Linked DNA regions of Yarrowia lipolytica. The main gene of each other region encodes a partner of the protein of the gene in region 3 in a complex. Links are inferred from orthologs where the notes say so. Each region holds a gene or a part of one and is shown on either strand. Other genes may lie near its edges.

Region 1 (4,980 bases), about 1.5 Mb from region 3:
GCAAGTGTTCTTCGCATTGTGTGTTTAGCAGTCGTTAGGATCGATAGTCTGAATCATCTTGCAAACAGGATCGGCTATCGAATTTATACTTTGAATTCTGTGGGTCACCTTCGGCGCACTGTCGGAGTATGTGAAGTGTCGCTGGGTCCGGAACCTTATTCGACTGCTCTCTATAATGAAGCAAGCAGATACACTGATATCTGGAGAGCGCAAGCCATTATTATATATTTACCGTACAAAAGTCGGCTTTATGAAGGTTCTAGAACAGTCTTGTCTCGGCTAGGCAGAACCCAGGCTGCAAAACAGCCAGTATTAGTGAGTACAAACTGTACGAGTAAATACAATAACCGCCTGCACGTGCTGTATTTTGCTCAGTCGTCTATTAAATGATAATTTACAATGCATTTATAACACCTTCTAAACCTCCTCCTCCAGCTTGGCAAGAGCCTCCTGGTATCCGTCGTTATGGGAACTGTTGATATGAGTGGCATCCACCTCCTGGGTTCGACCCACAAACTCGCCAATCTCCCGGAACCACTTGGCTTCTCCAGAGCCAGTGAGGAAGGTGTATGCGTTACCTTCTCTGCCTGCTCGGGCAGTTCGACCCACTCGATGCACATACTCTCGCTTTCCACTAGGGATATCGTAGTTGATCACATTATCCACCACGAAATCGATACCTCGAGAAACCAAATCGGTACAGACCAGAAAGTCGATCTTGCCATCAATAAACTGCTTCATGGACCGTCGTCGGTGCACAGAAGAAGTCTCGGCAGAAACAGCCGCTATCTTCCAATCCTTGTGGAAAATGTCCGCGTCCATAATCTCCATCATGCGAGCCACACGAGCAGCAGTTTCGGAACTCTTAGTGAACACCACGCCTCTGTTGATATCTCTCTGCACTAGCAGCTCGCACAGCATAAGAGGCTTCTCGGCAGCAGACACGTGGGTGACAATCTCTGTAAGACTCTTGGGAATAGAGTAGCTGTCAGAACTACCAATGACAAAAACGCCAGGATTGTGGATGTCCATGGATGCAATGTGTTCGGGGTTGGCTGTGAGGGTGGCTGAGAAAATAAGTGTTTGCATGTTTCGAACGTAGTGCTCAGTGAGGTTGGTCTTACCAGCCTGGGCCCGCTGCTGGTTGTTCTGCAACACAGAGGCCCAGTCGTAGTAGTCCTGGCCAAGCAGACGATCGGCCTCGTCAACCACCAGAAATTCGATGTAAGAGAAGAGCTCGGGGTTCTCCTTCACTTGCTCCACAAGTCGACCAGGGGCTGCCACAACGATATCGGCAGTCTCCAGAACAGCCCGTTCACGTTTGGTGCTTCGGTCGTTTCGAAGAGCCACAACAGACAAAGAAGATCCCTTGGATAGGTTTTCAAGCACGTCTCGGACTTGCATGACCAGGGGCTTTGTAGGGAGTACAACCACAGCTCTGATTCGAGGAACAATACGGTCTCGGAGCTTCTCGATAATGGGGATTCCGTAAGTGGCGGTCTTACCGGAACCGGTGGATGCAGAAACAAGAAGATCGGGCTTTCGATCGGGGGCAAGGAGCTTTTGCTGGGCCAGAAGCCAAGGAATGACTGCCTTCTGCACAGAAAATGCCTTTGTGTATCCTAAAGTGTCCAGGTTCTTCATCATATTTTTGCTCAGATCAAACTCATCAAATGATCCAACATCGTCAATTTCCACATAAGTAGCATTTCGCAAAATGGGCTGTGTCTGAAGTTGGGTCTTTCGAGAGATGGTTGCACTCTCATCGGGTTTATCCTCATAGATTTCAGTCTGGGGAAGCTCCTCGAAGCCCTTAGCTCGAATGGTTCCCTTAGCAAGCTTGATTTTGTTGTTGCCAGAAATCTTGATAGGCGCCAGATCATCTTCACTATCAGAGTCCTCCTCGCCCATATGCTGTTCTCGCTTTCGCTTTCGCTCTAGAGCCTTTTCCTCCGCTCGCTTGGCCAGGTTGGCGGCTTCCTGCTTCTTCTTTCGCTTCTGGTCGGCTGTAAGGTTCTCATCTTCGCTCTCCTCCTCGTCCTTGACCTCCACGGGCTTCTTGGCCTCCTCAGCCTCATCCATGGAGTCGTCCCCAGACTCCTCCTCATATTCCACCTCAGAGTGCTCGTCAGCATTGGTTTCAGGCTTGCTTTCCTCCTCCTCGTGTTTGACCTTCTTGAATGGTACAGGCGACGCCTGTCCGCCCTGGGTAGGGTCAAATCGACGAACTCCAGTGAACATGGTGATGTGTGTTTCGTGGTGTGCTGCAGGCTCGAAATAAATTTATTTGTATGTAGGCCTAAGATTTTCATGCACGAGTATCAAATAGAGTTTAGGTGTAGTAAGCGTTTTTACATCACCCTTTTTGCACTTCAGACCACTCCGAAAATGCTGCCAACACGGGTTCTTTGTCGTTCCGCCTGGAAATGTGAGTATTTCATTTGGTGAACCGAGTGCAGGGAAGAAGATTTTTGCCACTCGTTTTCACCATACTCGCGTGATTCGCCTGTACTTCGTTGCAATACGAGTGACACCACAGGCACAAAGGTATTGGCGATTGTCAAACCGGAAATTGATTGGTTGGACCGGGTGATAACACGGGCCAGTCAGGTTGTTGCCTCTCGATTCGTCGTCAGAACACCTCTCAGCTCTCGCGACTACGCACAGAATCTGCTAGTTGTTCTCCATTGACCAGATCAACACATCGCCAAATCAAGACATGACACACATCCTCCAAAGCTAACACAGGCCCTCACATTGTCCCTATCGACCTGAAGCCATGGGCTACAAAGAAGCAGCCTATCCAGACCGATAAGCGAGCCGCAACCATCATCCCCCAGTTTGTTGGTGTGACCTTCCACGTCCACAACGGTAAGGAGTACGTTCCTGTCAACGTCACCCAGGATATGGTCGGAACCAAGCTTGGCGAGTACGCTTACACTCGAAAGCCCTTCCGATACCGACAGACCAAGAACTAATTTGTATATAGCCAAGATTCATGCCTCAGAAGCTGTACATACTGTACTGTAGCTTTACAGTGCCTGAAGAGCCACCTGACTTCACCTACAAGTAGCTATTCACATGGTGATACGCTAAAGTCTTTGTATCTATCCATAGATACAGCGACTTTTTCCACCCAATACGTAAGATGGGAATTTTGAGCCAGGATAATAAATCTCGCATCTTGGCTCTAAGAGTAATTGAACTTTTAGTTAGATTTTTAGTTGATACCGTAAAACATTAGTGGAACTTATCGGTGGGGGTAGTATGTACACTACACATCCACTGAATACTCGTGCTACATTCTTCAAGTCACATTGCCAAAGTTACTGTTTATAAATATACATGCCTACATTCGATTTCCACGGGAGTCGACATTTTTGAGTCGGTATTCTCGTAGCTCGCCGGTTCGGTCCACCTGCGAGCCATTGCCCCATCCTCTTAGACGGATAACCATGCAAGTGGCATTGTCCGAGCCACCCAAAGCCGCTGCGTACTCAACCACCTCCTGGGCAGCCTGCTGTGGCGATCCTCGTCCAGAACCGCTACTGTTGGCGGTAATGGTTACCAGGTCCACGATCTCTTGATCAGACACGTCGCCAGAAACTCCGTCGGAAACCAGCACCAGGAACTGTTCGTCCTGGAGTGCAACCTCTCGCACGTCGGGCTCGGCACTCACACCCTTGGCCTTCATAAGTGTGTCTCCAAAGGCTCGGGTGTTGGCAAAGACACCGAACCGCTCCTCGCCGAAGGAGTCCATGAAGAATGAAGATGCAAATCGACGCAGACGATCGGCCTCGGTGGGAGCGCTGGGATGGTGGTCGATGGTAAGAGGTGTGGCCTCTCCTTTGGCATCACAGATGATGCATCGAGTGTCTCCGACATGGGCCACTACTAGAGAGAGGTCGTTCTCTGGGTCAAACATGTTATCCTCAGCCCCCGGCGGTAGGGGACCGGCCTCTGAATGGGCCACATGGCGACAATACAAGAACACCGATGTGCATGTACTTCCTCCTTTACCTTCAAAATCGTAGTCGGCCTCCAGGAACGCCAACGGTAGTCGTAACTGGAAGTCGTCGTAGGGGCTCATTCTACCCCGGTATTTGTCCATCTGCTTCCATCGGCGCCAGTAGCCTCCAAACCGCTCCTTGTACTTGGTGGTAATGTCGTCGGCGTCGTTGAGGTCAGCCTTCTCGACATAGGTGGCCAGTTTGTCCTTAAGAAACTCGGAGCACTCGTCGGATCCGTGGCCATCGTAGACGGCAAAGTTGAAGACCTGACGCTCGGCAGACATGCCCTTTCGCAGAGATCGAGGCGCAAAAGTGCTGCCTCGAGGTAGTTTCAATACGGAGGCGCTGTAGCGGTCTTCGTTGTAGGGTCTGTTGACTCGGCTTGTGTAGTGTCCAATGAAGCCCGGAAGCGAAAGCAGGTTTATGCGGCCCGCCACGTCGCCCTGGCGATAGTGAAAGTAGTTGCTGACGTGTCTCGAGAATATACGGGGCAATGGCGCCCCAATTGTGGCTCCTCGTCGAGGCACCATTGTATGGATAGATGTTTAGGACAGGTCCCAACGAAGTTAAACAATCCCCGCATGGGCCAAGACGGAGGTGAAACCCTCAATATTAGCAAGCCTTAGGGGGTACATGGGGTCTTGTTGGGCGGGGCAAAAGGGTTTTTGAGCGGTATTTCTGTCCACTATGAAGTGAAGCCGTCATATCCCCCTGGTTACATCCCCTCGTGTAGCTATAGCTGTGTACTTGATATATGTTCCTGCACATTTTTCCGACATTAACAGCAAACCATATCCTCAAATTTGTATGACAAGCAACGGATAAACCCAACCTCCATGCCCACACGTTGAGTCAACTGAGTCACGCTTACAGAGCTCCACGAAAATGAACCCATGGAGCTGACTAATGAAAAATGGCTTAACTTTGGGGCTGTCATAACCACCAAACATTGGACAGGAGGGAGAAAAAA
Region 2 (5,806 bases), on a different chromosome or scaffold from region 3:
CTTTTAACCCGCATCTTCAAGTACGGTAAGGAGTAGATGAGAGACCTACCAAGAAAAAACGCCCTGGTACTTGATATTGGGTAAAAGGGTAACAGGGCCGGCGTCTGTCTCTTTCGCCGTCATTCTACTTGCCACTGATCTACAAGCATCTGTAACTCCCCCTCCTCTCAGGAGCGCTACTTGTAGAATGTCCGACTAATATATCTCGATGAATAACATTTGAGCTTGAAATTTTTAACATTTTGGAGACTGTCAATGCGAATGTTGATGTGACATATACAGCACTATTTGCGTGTTTCGGATGGGGAGAAGTTTGTGGAATCAATTTACATTGTCATTATGAGTTCATGTGCATTTTTTCCCGCCAAGTTTCTCACAAAATTCCACGTTCCGGGTGTGTCCCTTTTTTTTTCTCTTTTTTTTCTTTTTTTTGCTTTTTTTTGCTTTTTTTTGTCTCGACATTAGTGCGTCTATCATGCACTGTATTTTTTAGTCGTCTGCGCTCCAAACTCTTTTTTTCACTTCGACAATACATGAACCCAGGAGCCAGCTGAGTAACACGAGACTCCCAAGGGAACGTGTCCCTACTTGTGAACCACATGTTCAAGAGCCAACTTCTGTTGAGCAATGACGCGTTGAAATACGCAAGAGCCTTCAAGTAAGCCGCCTGGCCAAGTGTTGTAAGACCCGCACAGCTATTGTTGAGACTAACTGCCATGAGCTGAAACGCCATGCGCCAAGAGCGAGTGTTTTGAGCCGGACGAAATGCCCAGGCTCCTCCTCCGTGCCTTGTGTAGCCCACATGAGCAAGTCGCCAGAGCCATCCGACCGTGGGAAACTCGTGGGTGAAACCCCTTTCTGAGACACTCCCACGCCGCCTACTTGTAGTAGAACTGAAGCTGAGATGCCAGAGCTACCAGTGCGAATGCCGACAAGCCGCTGAGAAGCCAGCCGAGACGCACTAGAGCAAAGATCGTAAGACACCTCCACGGTCAAGAGCAATGCAACAGTCTGAGTGAGCCAATGAGTCCTACACGGCAATAATGCCAAACGCCCGTCCCTCCAGCCAGAGCAGAGCCAGAGCCAGTACCACAGAACAGAGCTAGTAAGTCCAAAGAGCAGTGAAAGCCAGATCCAAGCCTGAGTCAATCAACTCGGACGGACAGCCATCCAGAGTGCTGTACACATGTTGCATGTCGGAAAATGTGAATAGGACGTAGGCAGTTGAACCTCCTCAGGAGGATGTAGGCTGACCGAACCTATGCTGTTAATTAATCAAGGGGAGTAGGTGAAAGAACCGCACCTCTTGGGATAATACATTAGGCCGTTGAGCACCTCCCCGTATTGTGAGTTGTAGTAGGTAGAAGTCGTATACAGTCGTAAATACAGTACATATAAACATGTCTGAAAACAGTCTGTTTTCTCAAGTGAAATTTTGGGGTTACCCGGCCTGGCAGAATAAGGGAAGTGATCACAACTCCAGTTGTAGTCCCTAAGGGAGCATTTATAACCACACCAGCGTGTTATTTGGACCATTGCGATCATTCTGGTATCCAAATAACGCACTTTGGCGGCTTCTGACCCAGTATATGTCTGGGATATGTTGCACTCGTGGAATTAACTAGACTTTAGTTAAGGCCGTAAGTGGTCTGGAGTCTCAAATTTGGGATCATTGGACTATTTCTGAAGTGTGAAGACCCTCAAATCATCAATTAAGCCATTATTACTCGAATAATGTAACATCATTTCCACATTCCCTTACATACTGTCAAGTAGTCGCAGTCAACGCCATATTCCAGTGTTTGTATATACTTAGGTTTTAGTTGGAGTGAAATCGCAGACTACAGGCAAGCAGTAGAGCAGGAATCAACAATGTAGTCAGTAACATCTGATTACCACGGGATTGACACTCAATCAGCCGTTTTTCATAAACCAGATGAATATACAAGCATTTCCTATCTAATTGAACAACAGTATCTGTCGAAACCCATCTAGATACGAGTTTTCTCTCATCCATTGGTATTGAGATCGGCAAGAGGGTCACTACCACGGTGGTCTCCACGAGAATCACCAAAAGAACGAGATCAGTAGTTACAATACCCATGAAACAACACTTGATTAACGTCTTTTCCCTTTTTCTCCAAGGTCTCATCAGTATTGAGATCACTCTCTTCCTCATTTCTCACTTGGTCACTTCCTCACTTACATAATCAGCATTCTGCAGATACAGAATCTCTCAATAGTCCTGATATCAACACAACACAGTCCAACTTGAATCAAAAAAAACCAAAAAAAAAAAAAAAAAAAAAAACCAAGTGGTCACCTCCATCGTCTATCACGTAACCGGTTCGTTCCATTTCCTTCAAAAGCCCCGTTATCTTTCCCTCAATATCGCACTCAACACACCCCACATCCAAGAGCCCTCTGTCGCTGATTCACCTCCCAATGTTACCCTACCTTTGTGCAAGGTGAAATTTCCAATTTTCCAGCACCAGCACAAACAACAGGGTACCACCGAACATGCTGAGATCTATCCGACGGTACTCGACCAAGTCGCCGTTCGCCAAGGTCGGCTCCAAGACCCAGTCCTACGACTACCTGCGAGCGTTGCGGGTCACCCCCGCCGAGACTTTTGCCGATGTCCCTCTGTCTCCCGAGCTGGAGCAGGAGCTGTCCACCAAGTTCCAGGAGTTCCAGAAGGCTCTCAAGGCCGGTGAGAAGCTGGAGCAGGTCAAGGAGATTGCACGACAGGCAAGAGGCACCAAAAACGCCGCTGCCGGCGGGGACCCCCAGGCCGATCTGTCTTCCCTGATGGGCCGAATCGACAGTAAGAACATCCGAGTGGGTAATGACCAGAGTAAGATTGCTGCCATTTTCCCGTTGCTCAAGCGAACCGCCCGAGATGAGGAGTACACCAAGCAGGAGCTGTTTCTGCGACGACAGCACCGACACGATATGCTCAGCAAGTTGGGAGCCGAGGTCAAGGGCGTCTACGATCCTCTCCATATCATCAAGCATCCCAAGAGTGGCACCGAGGCCACCGTGACCAGTCTTCTGGCTGCCGGCGCTCATCTGGGCCATGCCGTCGAGCTCGGTCACGTCAACAACCAGCCTTTCATCTACGGCGTTCGAGACGGCATTTCCATCATTGATCTTGAGCAGACCGTCACCCAGCTGCGACGAGCTGCTCGAATCACCGAGGCTGTTGCCAAGCAGAACGGTCTGATTCTGTTTGTCGGCACCCGTGACGGCCAGAAGCTGGCGCTCGAGGCCATGTCGCGACGATGCGGCGCTTCCTACGTGCACTCCAAGTGGATTCCTGGAGCCATCACCAACTTTTCCAACATTGCCGCCAACTGGAAACGATACGAGGTGGTGGACGGCGAGTCTGGAACCAGCTTTGCCGACATCAACCAGCACACTGGCCGAGAGTTTGACGCAGAGATCTCGGGCCCTAACATGCGACCTGATCTGGTTATCATCCTCAACCCCGACGAGAACCCCGCTCTGATCCGAGAGTGTCTCAAGTCCTGCATCCCCACTGTCGGAGTGGCCGACACCAACTTTAACCCTTCCAAGCTGTCGTACCCCATTGCCGCCAACGATGACTCTCTCCGAACCACGGATCTGATCACTGGAGTGCTGGCTCGAGCAGCCGAGAAGGGACACAAGCTGCGACGGTTCGAGGAGCAGCAGCGACGAAACGCCGAGCTTCTGCACATGAAGAAGAATCTTGTGCAGGCTGCCGATGAAAATGACGTGACCGAGGACCCTTTCTCCTCCGGAGAGGCCCACAAGGAGTAATGTACATATAGGAGACCATGAATGAGAGGTATTCGCGAGAATGCCAGTGTATTGAATAACAGAATGACACTGTGACCCTCGAGCAGATCGAGATATATGACTAGTAGTGAGAACAAAATTGAGACTGTGCATGTACTGAGCTCTTCTATAGAGAATCGAAATATGAAGACTTTGGAACCGTTCTACGATACAATACATACTTGTAATGTCTGAGTATGGTGCGAGTAGGTAGTACGATAATGTGGTGGGGTGGAATGAAAACAACGCTGTTGACTGCACTGAAGTAGATGTTCAATCATATCATACATGTTAATCTATATATCGTGGTCTTGTTCAGTAGTACATAAGCTGTCATCTTGCTATGCTCAAGGCTCATGTGCACCAGACGCATTCCTGTACATTCGCATAAACCGCGAAGTCGGCTTCTGCTGTGTACCGCCTCCAATCTGGGGGCTCTGGGGTTGCTTCATGGTCTGCGACATATCCATGAGCTGCTGCGCGACCTCAGGCTTGATTCGGTCGTACCGTCGCATTCGGATCTGCGGGTTATTGTACTCCTTGGACAGCTCGTTGGTCATGAGCAGATCCAGACATTGTCGGATCTCGATGAAGGTGGTCGACAGCGACGCGTTGCCTCCGTCCAAATGCAGCGTCGTCACAAACTGCTCCATGTATTGAATGTCCACGTTGTAGTTGTGCACGGCCTCGGTGGTGATGAGGCCCCGGGGCGCATTCAACAGAATCTGCAACAACGAAGAAGCCAAATGGTCAAACGCGCCAAAGTAGACGTAGTTCTTGATGGCAAAGGGTAGGTCGGCGAGCGTGGAGTTGAAAAAGATCGTAAGGAAGTTGACCATTTCGTCCAGATATGAGGAAGGTTCATCGGACGAAACTGTGGTCGACCAATCGTAGTCCTCGAGCTCCATGAAGTTGTCCACCGTCTGGGTCACGTGCTCGAATATTCGTGACTCGGCCTTGGCGGACGCCTGCTGGAACTTCTTCTGGGCCTTGAGTGTAATCTTCGACTTTCGTTGCGACGGACGACCGTCCACAATGCTCTGGGCAATGAACGGAATAACCCGCTCAAACTGCTGCAGGTCGATCAGAATCTGCACAATCTGCTCTCGGGTCGTGGTCATAAGCCGATGCAGCAGCGTGTCGCAGATAATGTCATTCAGCAGACTATCCATGGCCTGCTGCACGTAGTCCTCCGTCTGGGTAACTTCAGACACATTGAACTCGTCCAGAAATGCATAGTGCTGGTGAATCAGATGCGTAATCTTGGCACAACAAAGGGGCAAGATGGGCGAGAAGGGAAGGGTCTTGGGGAACACGCCGTCTGTAGCAGCTCCGGGTTTGCCTCCAGCTGCCTCGTCATCCGCTGGAGTCCACCAGCACGCTCGAGTGATCTTCTCATACCGATCAGCGTCGTGAATGGTGATCTTGTTGGTGTCGTCCTCCATGATTCCGGTGTTGAAGTCCTTGTCAAAGCCAGAAATGAGAAACTGGGAGAACTTTCGGAACGACAGAAGCAGAAAGTCGCCCACATTGACCGTGTCGAATCGGTATTGTTCCATGGTCTGCACAAACAAACCCAGCTGGGCCTTGAGATTGACGAGCACTGCTTGGTCCTGGACAGAAGCTAGTTCGTGGCCAAGAGTGCCCATAAGCTTTTGCGACAGAGAAATCCACAGGTCGTCGACATCGGATTGAGGACGGAAACCCTTGGTGGTTCGCGACGAAATCGTTCTGTCGAGGATACAAAAACCTGCCAGATTCTGCAAAATCTCGGCAACTCCGTCTTCCGACGCAGAGGACATGCTGGCGACCGTAGGCACAATGTTTTGCACGTGGGAGCGTCGGAACTCATCAAATTTTTTGATAAACACGTCCGTCTTCCGCAGAGTGTGGTGGATATGCAGACACTCGTATAGAGGGTCCAGCTCGACAAGAACAGAATGGTTGTCGATGGGATCGAAAGAGGATGATCGGTAGGAGAGCT
Region 3 (6,325 bases):
AGAAGCCTTCGATCTAGCCCTCTCAAGTCCCCTCTCTTACTCACCAACACACGCGCCTTCCACGCCTCTATCACAAACATGGGTGTCACAGTTAAGCAGCTCCAGCCCGGCGACGGCAAGACCTACCCCAAGAAGGGAGATGCCGTCACCATCCACTACGTGGGCACTCTGGAGAACGGCCAGAAGTTTGACTCTTCTCGAGATCGAGGCGAGCCCTTCAAGACCACCATTGGTGTCGGCGATGTCATCCGAGGATGGGACGAGGGTGTCCCCAAGCTCTCTCTCGGCGAGCGATCCGTGCTCACCATCTCCGGTGACTACGGCTACGGCGAGCGAGGTTTCCCCGGCCTCATCCCCCCCAACGCCACTCTTGTCTTTGACGTTGAGCTCCTCGGTATCAACTAAATTGGCAGACCATGATGAATGATGGACGACCATCCCCAGTCGTGTCACACTATGTAAAGTAACAGATGTAATTAGCTATGAGGAGTCACGTGACCCAGCGACCTTTGGAGATGGCCAGCAAGTGCCGTTACGGTACCATTAGCTCCAATTGACCACACAGACCCTTCGTTCAACATCCATTGCACTGCCCGGACACCCACCACTGTAAAAACACAGGCTAGACTCCACATGACGTCAACGTGCACCATACTTGTACCAAAACATGCACTCATTTCAAACATTGGCAGCTATTATGGGACCATACTGGCAAGGAGATGCGCTGTAAGATGCGTAGCTGTGGTGCCTGCAACGGGTTTGTTCGTCCGCTCTGTGGGCTATATGCTTGAACCCCGTACCGAGTAATTACACTGCTTAGGCTTAGTAATGTATGAGTACAATGCACTCGCTGGCGTTCGGTAATTTCGTACTGGAACGAGACAGTTACTCCATCTTAATCTGACACCTCCTCGGCTACCGGCACTGTACCAGTACCGCGGAGATTTGACAGGTGTCAGCCCGAGGAAATTAGACAGTCGCTAAGGATGGCTAATTGCTTCTGGCTAGTCGAAAAAATCAAGGGCGTGTGCTACAGTATTTTAGGACCAGCATGTTGTGGTGGTTGGCTTCCGATGTCCTGTGTCATGTATACACGAATGTACACACATACAGTAACCGCAATTACACTACGATTTTGTTTACTTTACCAGTTACGGTAAACATACCAAGTCTCTCTTCGTGAGTAAAAGCAGTAGAAGCTCTTCTGTACCATCCCAACTACTAAAAGTACAGATCTTCTACAGCTAGCCCAGCTATCCAAGCTCATGTTTATGTCATTAGTAAGCATTATATATGGTATCTTGTACTCGTACATTCCTCCCCCCCTTCAATCTCAAACACACCTCATCACTTCTTTCTCCTGGTGCTGCGCCGAGGAGCAGGTTTCTTCACCCCACCAGACGACTTTTTCGGCGTCGGCGTCTCTTCTCGTTCTGTAGCTGTATCTTCGGGTTCCGTTGTCGCCTTCCGTCTCGTCGACCGTCTCGGAGCGGAGGAAGCACGGGTGCTGGGCGACGACTTTTTGTCGCGAACAGTCTTGCCCTTTGAGGTCCCTCGGCCACGAACAGCTGCTGCAGTGGCTGCTCGCGTTCTTCGTTGGCGGCCTGTTTGTGCGTCCGAGTCAGACTGTGATTCCGAACCGGATTCACTCTCCGATTCTCCAGATTCTTCTCCTTCTCCTTCCTCCTCCGATTTTTCAGCTTCCTCGGGCTCTGCACTACCCTCCATGGTGTCGTGCTCTTCTTCTCCTCCGTTCTCCTCCCGTTCCTGCTGCTCTCCCTCCACCTTGATCTTGGTTTCCGCCAGTTTCATCTCCTCGTCGTCCAGTTCATCCAGATCACTGGACTCGTCGTCATCGTCAGCAAGGCCCTTCTTTTCATCCCCAGCTGTGGGTCCGTCTTCCAAGACAGACTGCTCGCGCGACATGGCTGGACTAGACTGTTCACTGGCAACCGCAGTAGCCTGCTCAATCTGCAGAAACCCATAATCGCGGAACGGCAGCACGAACTCCTTCATCTGCGACCGCTTTGCGATCCCTTCAATCGCAGCCTCGTCATCCTCATCCTCGTCCATGTCCGAATCCTGGTTGTCGGCCACGTACTCCAGTTCGTCTAGTCCATCCAGGTCGTACAGAGTGCCCAGCTTGTCCCACACGTCCTGGTGAGAGAACACAGGCGCGTCCTTCGGCGATTCGGAAAAATAGTAGTTCAGCGAAGCCGACAGAGAAATCATGCGGAAATGTTTGTGGATGCCCACGGGCTTGAACTTGCACAGCGAGTTGAACAGCACTGTCTCGCTCTCTATGGACCATGGAGAAGAGTCTGTTCCGGCATCACCTTGTCCGTTACTCTCAACTTCTGCTCCGTCCACTGCTTGTGTCGATGTGTCGTCTGTATCTTCCCTTTTCACCATCCCCGTCTCATCTTCCTCTTTTTTCTTCATGATGCAATGTCGTTAGTATGGTACAGTTGTGATTGTAGATGGTGCTCCGGCTCTACGGTTCGTGTGCTACCTCTCAACCTCCTGCACGTTGACCTTGTGCTTGGTGGTGTAGCGAGTGTTTACATTGTCTGTAGCACTTTCAACTAACTTCCAACTAACCCCCAACTAACATTTACACATCACCAAACTCTCTTAAGATTGGGACTTTTGTCACCTCTCATTTACTCCCACCTACACCTCAGTTACCCTACCGTGCATCTGAGTGAAAAATTCAATCACAAGATATACATCACCACCCCAAAATGCCCCATAAAGCGAAAAACCTCTTCTCTCTGGCTCGAGGTAAGGTGCGAGCCTCATGGAACCCCCGCAACCTGTACAACTTGTACAAGAAGACGGACTTTCTGCGGGATGAAAAGACGCTTTTCCAGAAGAAGTGGGCCTCCAAGCGAGAGCTGCGAGCCTATCATGGAGAACACATTCGAGAGGGTACCTTGACCACTCAGATCCCCAAGAAGCTGCAGGGTGTGGTTCTGCCTCTGGGAGACGACGTGACCTCCGAAGGAATCATGGCTAACCGATTCGACGATCAGATGCTGGAGTTTGATGCCGAGGGCAACAAAAAGCTCAAGACGCCGTTTGCCATGCAGACGTTTGTGCATCTGGAGAAGCGACTGGACTTTGCCGTGTTCCGGTCCATGTTTGCCGCATCCATTCGACAGGCCGGCCAGTTTATTCGACAGGGCAATGTGACTGTCAATGGAGTCAAGATCAAGCATGCCTCCTACACCCTCAAGCCCGGAGATCTCATCTCAGTCAAGCCCGAGAAGGTCCTCTTTGCTGCCGGTAAGGCCAAGCCTTCCGTTGAGGAGGCTGTCAAGATCGACAACCGACAGATCAAAAAGTACAACCAGTACATCAAAAAGTGCAACGATGATCCTGAGAAGATGTGGAACGTGCGTCTCGACAAGATCAAGAAGCGAGAGGCTGGAAAGCTGATGGACCCCAAGACGCAGATGCAGCTTCAGAAGGCCAACGAGGTGGCCTTCCAGGCCATGCTGGCCCGTCTCCGAGAGCTGTGCTCCGCTGCCATCTTCGAGGATCTCATCACTGGCCGAGACGAGTTTCTTAAGACCCAGACTGACGATACCAAGGTTCTGGGTGAGAAGCTACTCAAGCTAATTGACCAGCAGTTCCCTGCCAACGGTGCGGACCCGGTCGCTCCCACTGCTGAGGGTTTCCTAACCCCCGAGGCCGTCATTGAGCTTCTCAACGAGCGATCCACCAAGCTGGCCCAGGAGGCTGAGACAAAGGCTGAGGCCGCGGTAGAGGGCTCTGCTGAGCAAAAGAAGGCCGAGACCGTGCGCTCCAATGCCAATCATCTTATTGAGCAGCGAAACAAGAACATGGCGGGCATCGGCTCCAAGAAGCTGGAGTTTGCTATCCATCCCAAGGACATCAACCACGTCTCGTCCATCGAGAGCCCTCATACGAAGAACATTGTGTCCAGCTGTCTAATTTCGCGAAAAGCCGAGTTTGCCGGAGTCGAGGAGCGAAAGGTGGTCTACGCCGCCCGATGCCTCATCCAGGAAATGAAGACCAACGTGGCTGACTCTATCCACGACAGCTACAATGAGCATCAGCAAAAGCTGCTGAATCCCTCTGTCCAGGACACCGAGGTCAACCCCCGATGGCTGCAGCTGCTAGGACCTCTGCGAGAGAAGATTGATGCTGCCGAAGCCGCTGAAAACGAGGCCGAGGTCGCCCAGGAGTTCCCCTGGCAGAAGAAGCATCTGTACGGCCGACAGGATATCTCTAAGCCCTACTTTACACCCTGGAGATTCCGACCCTTCATTTCTCCTTCGGTTATCTACCCCCACCACATTGAGGTTGACTTCACTACCTGCTCCGCCGTCTACCTGCGAGACCCTGTTGCCCGACCCGGAATGTCGGAGGTCATTTCTCCCTTCCCTCTGATCAACCACGAGTTTGCCAACTTATACTACATTAAGAAGTAGTTTGTATATACTGTATTAGCATTGAAAGCGAAATTTGAATACTGTAGAGACCGGTCTCAACTGTTGTACATACTATAGTATGTACAGTATGTACTTGTATAAAATGTGCAATTACTGTAGCACTACTTGTATTAATATGGATAGATGAATACGGAAAGCATAGTAACGTCAATGTCCATCATATTCGTCTTTATCACATTCCACGACATTCGTAGTATGTACTGTATGTACTTGTGTTGTAACAAATATGATTTCGGAAATACAGTATATATATGACAGTTACTTGTGCCGTACTTTTTGTAGCGATACTGTTGGTATACATACTGTATCCTACATCTTTCGTATCAATGTTATTAAATATTAACCACTGCTGTGATCAACAACAGAGGTGACGAGCTTGCCGTTGACAATCTTGTGGATGAGCTGCTCGGGAACAGGCACTTCCTCATAGTCTCCATCGTCGGTGGGGATGTTGATGTTTAAGGAAGTGGTCTGCGAAGTATACACCTCAGCACCAATGCTCTCCTTGGACAGATAGATCTGTCCTCCGTCACTCTGGTCAATAGTGACCATGGGGGTAACACCAGTCACCTGGATGGCGTAGTCCTTGCATCGAATCACGTCAACTCCAGAAACCAGGTTCTCCACCAGAAGACCAAGCTTCTTACAGTTGTTGAGAGACACAGCCGACACCTTGCCCTTGATCTGCACCGTTGAGTTGTTGCAGTTCTCGATCATGACACCCTGGTTCATCTCGCCCTCGATGACAATGTTCTGGTCGCCCTCGTAGTTCTCAACAAACCATTTCGTGTCAAGCAGCTCGGTCTTGGCGGGTCGCTGCTTGGGGGCAGGGGCAGCAGGAGTGGCCTTAGACAAAGATCCGGGCTTTTTGGGAGGAAGAGGTCGAGCTGCCTTTCCGGAGGCGCCAACAGGGTCCTGTTTTCGCAGATCGGGGTTTTTGTGGGTCATTTCGCTCTTGTCGACCTTTCGCAGACCAGCAGTGACAGCCTCGCCCTTGGACAGGTCAGCAAACACTGCACCCATACCACCAGAAGGAGCAGCAGGAGCAGCAGAGTCTGTCTCGTAGATGCTAGCAGGAGGAGGAGGAGGGGGAGGAGGAGGAGGAGGGCCTCCTCCTGTGGCAGGAGCTCCACCGGGAGCGGGGACAGCAGTGGGAGCAGCGACAGACTTGGATTGAGTCTTTAGAGCCTCCTCAACAGGGATACCTCCAACCTTCCAGGTGGGACCGGTGGTGTGGAACTCCTTGACGTAGGCTTGGAGAGCGTCGGCGATGCCGTTGAAACCCTTGACCCATTCCACATGCTTGGGGTCCACGCTCTTGAAGTCCTTGAGCACCCGGTTGGAGTAGAACTGAGCGGAGTCCTTGAAGTCGCCAATGAGAGGAAGAGGCAGGTCTGAGGCGACCCATCCGACCAGGGGAGCTCCCTCGGCCACGGTGGCCAGATGAGACGACACCTTGGGGTCTCTGGTCTTTTCACGGATGTTCATGATGGACTCCACGTTGGAGGAGATGGGCTTGACAAGCTCAGCAAAGGCGGAAGAGGTGGGTTCAGGCTTCTTGGCGACAGCAGCGACAGCCAAGAAGTCTCGCTGGGCATCGAAGGCCTTCTTGAAAGCCTCGGCCTGCTCGCCAATGGTGGCATCGAGCTGCTTGGAGGTAGCGACAAAGGGGTCAACGTGGGTCTTGATGAGAGCATCAAACTCGGAGATCCACTTGGGCAGGTCGGCATCGGCTGCAGCAGAAGAAGTGGCGGCAGCGGGAGCAGCGGGAGCAGCAGAGGATCGGGAGGGCGCATCAACGCCAGCCTTGGTCGCTGCAGCGTTCTGGGGACCTCGCTCGTCAA

What was found. The genes of interacting proteins can lie anywhere in the genome.
Region 1: YALI1_B14150g (region 3) and YALI1_B29507g share a complex: the UniProt entries of both Saccharomyces cerevisiae proteins name them as parts of the mitochondrial small ribosomal subunit. The link is inferred for Yarrowia lipolytica from reciprocal best matches to the Saccharomyces cerevisiae genes NAM9 and RSM19.
Region 2: YALI1_B14150g (region 3) and YALI1_F17431g share a complex: the UniProt entries of both Saccharomyces cerevisiae proteins name them as parts of the mitochondrial small ribosomal subunit. The link is inferred for Yarrowia lipolytica from reciprocal best matches to the Saccharomyces cerevisiae genes NAM9 and MRP4.

Annotation. Positions count from the first base shown.
Region 1 is NC_090771.1:2,948,313-2,953,292, forward strand, and holds YALI1_B29507g (mitochondrial 37S ribosomal protein uS19m), read left to right. Parts: upstream 1-2,388; coding exon 2,389-2,428; intron 2,429-2,748; coding exon 2,749-2,978; downstream 2,979-4,980. Other genes in the region: YALI1_B29483g (uncharacterized protein), read right to left, coding at 1-17; YALI1_B29505g (uncharacterized protein), read right to left, coding at 418-2,241; YALI1_B29528g (uncharacterized protein), read right to left, coding at 3,350-4,540. UniProt on the Saccharomyces cerevisiae protein: Component of the mitochondrial ribosome (mitoribosome), a dedicated translation machinery responsible for the synthesis of mitochondrial genome-encoded proteins, including at least some of the essential transmembrane subunits of the mitochondrial respiratory chain.
Region 2 is NC_090775.1:1,739,826-1,745,631, reverse strand, and holds YALI1_F17431g (mitochondrial 37S ribosomal protein uS2m), read left to right. Parts: upstream 1-2,520; coding exon 2,521-3,804; downstream 3,805-5,806. Other genes in the region: YALI1_F17444g (uncharacterized protein), read right to left, coding at 655-1,140, 1,187-1,195; YALI1_F17383g (uncharacterized protein), read right to left, coding at 4,170-5,806. UniProt on the Saccharomyces cerevisiae protein: Component of the mitochondrial ribosome (mitoribosome), a dedicated translation machinery responsible for the synthesis of mitochondrial genome-encoded proteins, including at least some of the essential transmembrane subunits of the mitochondrial respiratory chain.
Region 3 is NC_090771.1:1,412,321-1,418,645, forward strand, and holds YALI1_B14150g (mitochondrial 37S ribosomal protein uS4m), read left to right. Parts: upstream 1-2,744; coding exon 2,745-4,460; downstream 4,461-6,325. Other genes in the region: YALI1_B14121g (uncharacterized protein), read left to right, coding at 1-405; YALI1_B14147g (uncharacterized protein), read right to left, coding at 1,348-2,442; YALI1_B14187g (uncharacterized protein), read right to left, coding at 4,821-6,325. UniProt on the Saccharomyces cerevisiae protein: Component of the mitochondrial ribosome (mitoribosome), a dedicated translation machinery responsible for the synthesis of mitochondrial genome-encoded proteins, including at least some of the essential transmembrane subunits of the mitochondrial respiratory chain.